2 linked regions of the Coturnix japonica genome follow. Each later gene encodes a partner of the first gene's protein in a complex. Links are inferred from orthologs where the notes say so. Each region holds a gene or a part of one and is shown in the gene's direction. Other genes may lie near its edges.

Evidence for each region. The genes of interacting proteins can lie anywhere in the genome.
Region 2: KAT2A (region 1) and MBIP share a complex: the UniProt entries of both Homo sapiens proteins name them as parts of the ADA2A-containing complex. The link is inferred for Coturnix japonica from reciprocal best matches to the Homo sapiens genes KAT2A and MBIP.

Annotation. Positions count from the first base shown.
Region 1 is NC_029542.1:4,445,647-4,449,392, reverse strand, and holds the start of KAT2A (histone acetyltransferase KAT2A), read left to right. Parts: upstream 1-1,188; 5' UTR 1,189-1,215; coding exon 1,216-1,449; intron 1,450-1,742; coding exon 1,743-1,866; intron 1,867-1,963; coding exon 1,964-2,109; intron 2,110-2,252; coding exon 2,253-2,342; intron 2,343-2,680; coding exon 2,681-2,862; intron 2,863-2,939; coding exon 2,940-3,131; intron 3,132-3,228; coding exon 3,229-3,335; intron 3,336-3,424; coding exon 3,425-3,532; intron 3,533-3,608; coding exon 3,609-3,745; intron 3,746-3,746. Other genes in the region: heat shock protein 30C-like, read left to right, coding at 1-366. UniProt on the Homo sapiens protein: Protein lysine acyltransferase that can act as a acetyltransferase, glutaryltransferase, succinyltransferase or malonyltransferase, depending on the context.
Region 2 is NC_029520.1:33,103,717-33,107,462, reverse strand, and holds the start of MBIP (MAP3K12-binding inhibitory protein 1), read left to right. Parts: upstream 1-1,177; 5' UTR 1,178-1,198; coding exon 1,199-1,351; intron 1,352-3,746. UniProt on the Homo sapiens protein: Inhibits the MAP3K12 activity to induce the activation of the JNK/SAPK pathway. Component of the ATAC complex, a complex with histone acetyltransferase activity on histones H3 and H4.

The DNA of each region.
Region 1 (3,746 bases):
ACCCAGGGCTCCGGGGAGGGATTCTCCGTCTGCCAGGACGTGAAGGACTTCGCCCCCGAGCAGCTGTCGGTGAAGGTGGTGGGCAGGAAGGTGGTGCTGGTGGGGCAGAAGGAGACGCAGAACACGGACGACAAGGGCTCCTTCTCCTACAAGTACGAGGTGCTGAAGCGCGAGTGGGACGTGCCCGAGGAGGTGGACGCCGAGGCGCTGACCTGCTCCCTGTCCAGCGAGGGGCAGCTGCGTATCGAGGCCCCCCGGCTGGCCCTGCCGCCACCCAACGAGAGGAACGTGCCCATCCAGCTGCCGGCAGCAGCGGCTCAGCCCGCGGCCAACGCCGAGGATGGAGCAGAGAGAGCCAAGGCGTGATGGAGCAGCGCGGGGCCGGGCTGAGCCCGGTGCGGGGGGGGATCTGTGGCCAAAGCGTGAAGGTTTATTTTTGATATGTAATAAACTTCCTTGACTTTTACATACACGGCTCGTGTCTTTGTTCATTTGGCGGGTCGGTCACCCCGGGAGCTGCACTGCGCCCTAAGGGCGCATCCCCGGCAGCTCCTCACCCCGCCCCGGTGGAGGAGGACGGACAGGGAGCGCTGCCACTCGTGCACAACAACACGGACACGGGGAGCGCCCCGGGACAGCGCCGGACACTTCGGGAAGGCGCAGGGACGTTCTCCGCGCTGCCGGGCGGGGACAGCAGCCGCCCCCCTCCCCACCCCCCATTACTTCCCCCCGCCCCGTCCCGTCCCTGCTCGCACGTTCCAGTCGCTGCGCGGCGCCCCGCGAAGGACGTTCGGCCAAACCCGCCCCCCCGGTGCTGCGGGCGGAGCCGCCCCGTGTCGGGACATTCGGGCTCCGGCCGCTCCTTGTTTCCCGGCTGTGGGTGACGCCGCGCTCCGTGTTTGGCGGCGCGGCGGATCCGTTCCCACGGTCCCGGTACCGGACCCCGGGCCGGCGACCCCCGTTTGCTCCGCGCTGAGCGTCGGCTCCGCGTTACCGGCGCAGCCCCGGGATGGGCGCTCCGAGCGGCGGCTCCATGGTCATCCCGCGGCGCTTCCTTTGTGCCCGTCCGCCATCCCGCCCCTCCGTCGGTGCGTTGCCCGGTCCCCATCCCGGTATCCCGGTATCCCGGTTCCCATCCCACCCCGCCGCCCGCAGCAGCTCCCGGCGTGCCCGGCGCGCAGGCGCAGTGAGCTCGGAGCGCACGCCGAGCCCGGCATGGCGGAGCCGGAGGCCGCGCAGCCCGGGAGGCCGCCACCGGCACCGGGAACCGCGGCGCCGCCGAACGGCGGGATGGGGAGCGGGGGGGCGGCTCCGGGAGGGGCGGGATCCAGCGACCCGGCGCGGCCCGGGCTCAGCCAACAGCAACGGGCGAGTCAGCGCAAGGCGCAGGTGCGGGGCTTCCCCCGCGGCAAGAAGCTGGAGAAGCTGGGGGTGTTCTCGGCCTGCAAGGTGGGCGCGGGGCAACCGGCTGCGCGGGGCGGGGGAGCAGCACGATGAGATTGGAGGGGTCGGAGGCGCCGAGGGCCGGGATGTGCCGGGATGTGCCGGGCTGTGTGATGCTGTGTGATGCTGTGCGGGGCTGTACCGGGCTGTGCGGGGCTGTACGGGGCTGTACCGGGCTGTACGGGGCTGTGCGGGGCTGTACGGGGCTGTGCGGGGCTGTGCGGAGCTGTGCGGAGCTGTGCGGGGCTGTACGGAGCTGTGCGGGGCTGTGCGATGGTTTCTCCCGTCCCTCCTCGCAGGCGAACGATGCCTGCAAGTGCAACGGCTGGAAGAACCCCAACCCCCCCACCGCCCCCCGCATGGACCTGCAGCAGCCGGTGACCAACCTGAGCGAGCCGTGCCGCAGCTGCGGCCACGCGTTGGGTAACCGCACACAGCCCCGGGGCTGCACGGCGCTGGGACCCCCAACCGTGGGGCGCTGCGCCCACCCCCATCTCACCACGTGCTGTCTCTGCCGCAGCCGACCATGTGTCCCACCTGGAGAACGTGTCGGAGGAGGAGATCAACCGGCTGCTGGGCATGGTGGTGGACGTGGAGAACCTCTTCATGTCGGTGCACAAGGAGGAGGACACGGACACCAAGCAGGTCTATTTCTACCTGTTCAAGGTGCGTCCATCTGTCCTGTTTGCCCTCTGCCCCACCTGCGGGCAGCTTCACTCCGTGCAGCCCCATTGCGGAGCTGCTGTGTCTGATCTCCTGGGAAGGGAGCGGGCATTGAGGTGCTGACGTGTCCCGTGGGGTCTTTGCAGCTCCTCAGGAAATGCATCCTGCAGATGAGCCAGCCGGTGGTCGAGGGGTCCCTGGGGAGCCCCCCCTTTGAGAAACCCAACATCGAGCAGGTGAGGCGGCTGTGGGCTGTGCTGGAGACTTGGGCTGTGGGCAGACAGGGCTGAAAACCCTGAACTGAGCAGACACAGCAGCAATTTGGCTTCATGGTGACCCCACGTGCTGTGCTGCAAACTCATGGAGCTTTCAGCTTTGTCACTGTGTGGAAAAAGAGGGAGTGTGTGTGTGTGTGTGTGTGTGTGTGTGTATGTGCTGGTGGCAGCAGTGGCCCTTCTGCTCCTGCCACCTCTCCATTCCTCCTGCTTGGATCTTGGAGGTACCTGCTGCCAGCTGGGCTCCGTGGCGCAGTGACCCCGGCCCTGGCACCCTCCAACCCACTCCTCTCCCCCAGGGGGTCCTGAACTTCGTGCAGTACAAGTTCAGCCACCTCCCACCCAAGGAGCGGCAGACGATGTACGAGCTCTCCAAGATGTTCCTGCTCTGCCTCAACTACTGGAAGCTGGAGACGCCGTCACAGTTCCGACAGCGCTCGCAGAATGACGACGTGGCCACCTACAAAGTCAACTACACCAGGTGAGGGGGGGCTGCCTCTGCATGGGGGTCTCCCAGCAGTGTTGCTGCAGGGGGGATCCCAGCACTGTCCCCCGCAGGTGGCTGTGCTACTGCCACGTGCCGCAGAGCTGCGACAGCCTGCCCCGCTACGAGACCACGCACGTCTTTGGGCGCAGCCTCCTCAAGACCATCTTCACCGTCACCCGCCGGCAGCTGCTGGAGAAGTTCCGTGTGGAGAAGGACAAGCTGGTGCCGGAGAAGCGCACACTGATCCTCACCCACTTCCCCAAGTAGGTGCCAGGCGCGGGGCTGCCGTCTGCGCGGCCGTTTCCCCTGTGCTCCCCATGGAGCTGTGTGCACCCAGCTCGGTGTGCTGCTTGCTGCCAGGTTCCTGTCCATGCTGGAGGAGGAGATCTACGGGGAGAACTCGCCCATATGGGAGGCAGATTTCACTGTGCCGGCTGCGGAGGGCGCCCAGCTGGTGTCACGTCCAGGTACCGTGGGGTGTTGGCTGGGCCGGTGCTGTCACGGCTGCATTGTGGATGGGGATTCCTCAGACTTACGGCTGCCTGCTCTCCTGCAGCCACCGTCAGTGCCGTCACTGTGCCCAGCGCTCCGCTCTTCAGCAAGAAGCTCAGCAGCAGCAGCTTGGCCACGAGCATGGACACTGGCACGCCAGAGCCTCTGCCAGGTAGGGCAGTGCAGGGAATGGGAACGGCTCCGGCCCAGCAATGGGGGCTCTGCCCGACGAGCTGCTGCTGCCCCAGGGGAGAAACGGAAGCTGCCTGAGAGCCTGACACTGGAGGATGCCAAGAGGATCCGCGTGATGGGCGACATCCCCATGGAGCTGGTGAACGAGGTGATGCTGACCATCACCGACCCCGCTGCCATGCTGGGCCCTGAGG
Region 2 (3,746 bases), on another chromosome or scaffold:
TTTAAATCATTAGCTCTTAAGTCAGTAATTTGCCTCTGGAATTGAGCAGACATTCCCTTTTGGTTGAAGCTCCAGAACCTGCTCATGATCCTATAGCAGTTCAGACATGCTACCATTTTCAAAGGGTTAAGTCAGCCATGGCAGCTAAAACCTGCTGCTGTGCTGCTGGAATTGCTGCTGGAACTTGGAATGAAAGACCAACAACCAACCAACCATCCAAACAACAACGACAACAACAAAAACCAAGTGTGATGGGACTGAAAATGAAACAATACCAAAGATTTCAGTGCTTTCCCAGCATCTCAGAAGGCTTAATACCTCAAGAAATGGAAAACATAAGTCTGGTTGATAAGTGGGTATCCTCTGCCCATCTTGTCTGATTGTGACTTGCAGAATTGGATTTGCTTCTACCCTCAGTATTCTGTTGTTGTTTACTAAATGATCTCCCTTTGGACATGAAAAATGCATGATAGGGAAAAAAGCTAAAATGTCGAGATTGGTCTGTCCTGCAGAGCTATGTGGTCTCCCTTTATACCAGAGATGGAGAATTGGCTCATAAGCCTAGGAATACCCTTTTCAAGAGACAGGAAGTATGAAATGAATCAAGAGAAATGATTGTAAAGGAAATCTGGGGGAGGAAACAGGAAAATGGTAAAAGACAGAAATTAAGTGACAAAAAGAAACACCAGGTAGAAAACTTTCATCAGCACTGCTGCTGTCCTAAGAAAGAAGGTGAGCAGATTGCAGAGGAGGAAGTAGTCTTGCCCTACAAATATAGTGTGACAAACTTGTTCCTCATTGTATGGCGACAGAGCTACCCTGCTGCAACTTGAGGAGTCAAGGCTTTGAAGATAAACTCATGAGTGTACAAAAGTTAGTAATAAGCAGAAAAGTAAGGCTGAAAAAGAAGTACAATCATTTGGTATGCTTAGTATGCTTAGAATTAACACACGTCCCTCTTTCCATGAATGCACTCAGTCAAGGCACTACCACTGTGGACGCAGCTGAAGGATAGAAAGGGACAGGAGGCAAAGAGAAGGGCAAGGTGATGAGTTGTGCTGGGAGTCCTGGGGCCTTTAGGTGCTGGGCAGCAGTCGGACGCTGCCAACACCGTACACCCGGAGAGCCGCCATCACGGCCGCAACATTGGCTGCTGCTCCTGTCCATCATCGTTCGTCATCGCTGAGCGACGCGGGGCATGTCGCTGCCGGCTGCGGCCCGTGCTGCTGTCATGGCGGCGGCGCCCGGCCTGACGGAGCTCGGCGAGCGCTCTCCGGAGGCTGGAGCCAAGCTGGTGGCCTCGGAGGTGGCGAGTAGCGCCCTGCGCTCCCTGGCCGGGCTGGCGGGGCAGGTGAGTACAGGGTGGGAGGAAGGGAGGACCGGGGCCGGGTCAGCCGTGGACCCGCTCCTGCTGTACTCGCCTTTTTGGGCGGGCATCTCTGCTTCTCTGTCCGTGGGACTCTTCGGGGATGGGTTTAAAGTATAGGGAGAAAATTCTGCAGTAAGTAAGGGAGGCTGTCATGTCTGCAGGTGACAACGGGAACGGTGGGGTTGCGTGCGTGGTACTGTAGGCTGCTTGGGGTTTTAGTGTTGATGAATTATGTAGCAGATAGCGCGGCAGTGGTGGGAGGCTCTTATCGAGAGAAGCTGCCAGTAACAACTTAATAATTGCCATCAATAATTTACAAGTGAACTCATCTTCCTTCATGGAAGCACAGATGTCTTTCTGTGGAGGCAATAGAAGTGCAGTCGTGCTTTTGCAGTTAGATGGCAGTTTGAAGGTCTGGCGTCAGGTGGTGAGCTTGTGTCTTGGGGAGGTAATAGAGTTGATATTAGAGCTGCTGCATGCCCTCAGGAGGATTGCAGTAATTATGGAACAGAATAAAGGTTTTGGAAACACTGATATTTGGAGTGTGTTCTTTGTGTGACAACTTAAAGCCCTTTCACTGCATGCTGTGCTGAACGATGGGTGGGTAGGGGTTTGGTTACCTGTCTTAGCTGTTGTGACTCTTCAGATTACTCACTCAAAGTCATTTCCAGCTGTCCAGTTACATTCTTACCTGCCAGCATTTGAGTTCTGGTAGACTAGTGATGTTTTAGCAGCTTATCCTCTTCAGATATCCATCTTGCACTTCTGACTGATGCTTCTGGTCCCTTTCTCCCCTGTATTGAGATGGTAGAACGTTTGCCAGGTCTTCGTCTATCACAGTTTGCAATCTGTCATAGCAACTTAAGCAAGATTTATGCCATCAAGTTGCACTGGAAACAGGAAAAATAAATGTGTGTATATATGTATATATAATATATACACAATGTATGTATATATGAGCAATATATATTGAGCAATGACTTGCAGTGCAGTGATTAGAAGGACATCTGAAGATAACAACTCTTGAAACCAATATGGCAGATCCTGAAAAGTTACTTTAATCCCAAGGGATAATTTGTGAAGTTTATAAAACAATTTCAAAGATCAGGAATAACTTTGATGTAAAATAGTGAGAAAAATAAGTGTGCAGTGTTTGAAATGTGTTTGGTTGCAGGAGGAGTTTGTCCTTTACTTAACAGTGTGTGTGAGTTTATCCCCTGCCTCTAGATTCTAAGTCAGAAGGAATTGTTTTTCACATTGCACCATACGACTGTAGGATACAAGAAGGGGGCTTACTAGGCCATTACAGCAGGACATGTATTTTGTCTGTTACGGCAGTGTACCTCTGTAGCTGTTTATCCTATCAGCGCTCTGTAATGTAGCATGTATTACTCTCAAAACTTTGGGAGGAAATACTTGCTTCGGATAGTGCCCTTTAGATGATCGCCCAGTCACAGATGTTTGACTTGTAAAGTGAGGTTTTATTATACCAAATTCTTAATACATTCTTATGTTTCTGAGGTTTCATAACAATTATTTACTAAAACATTATTTTCCTTGCCTCTTATGTAGATTAAGTACTAACTAAGAATAATGTTTGTGAAAATTATCTAAAATACATTACATATCCAACTAGATAAAAACCATGATTCAGTTGTTATTTTGTAGTGCATTGGAAAACAATGCAAATCTATCCACTGTTCCCCTAGGTACTTATTTTTTTGTCTCTAAAGGCCAGTAGATCTTCCATCTCTTTTGCTATGTAACTGATTTGTAATCTAACACTGGATTTATCAAGGCTGATCTTTGACTAAAGAACGAGGGATCACGCTTGTCCTTCTTTATGTATGATGTTGCAGTATTGCTTGGTTCGAAAACTGATGTAGAGCAATTTCAGGTTCTGCTGCTTTGCCTTCAGTGTAATGGAAACATTCTTGATTTTATTTGTTTCATAATATGTTGTGCTATGAAACAAGTACATATGCATTCCGCGTTCATAATATTTGGTGCTGTTGCAAGATAGTGATTTTTAGACTATGTGTTCAAGGTCAATCTTATCACGGATGTGATACTTTTATTTATTTATTTATTTATTTTAATATGGCAGGAATGAGATGTAGATGTACAGATTTGCTTGTGACTTGGGATTCTGCATCCAAAACAGAGCACTTGTATATCCTGTTGATTTAAAACCGTTGTTTTATCTGTATTTATGATTTGGGAGATTGCTTAGGGGATATTTGGTTGGAAAACAACCTGTTTGGTGTGTGAAAATGGAAGTGTTTCTCCTTTACAACATCTTATCAGGAAAGCTTTAGTGTAATGAATGTGTCATAGAGCTGTGTGGAAGTACGTAATTAATTAGCGATTATTAACA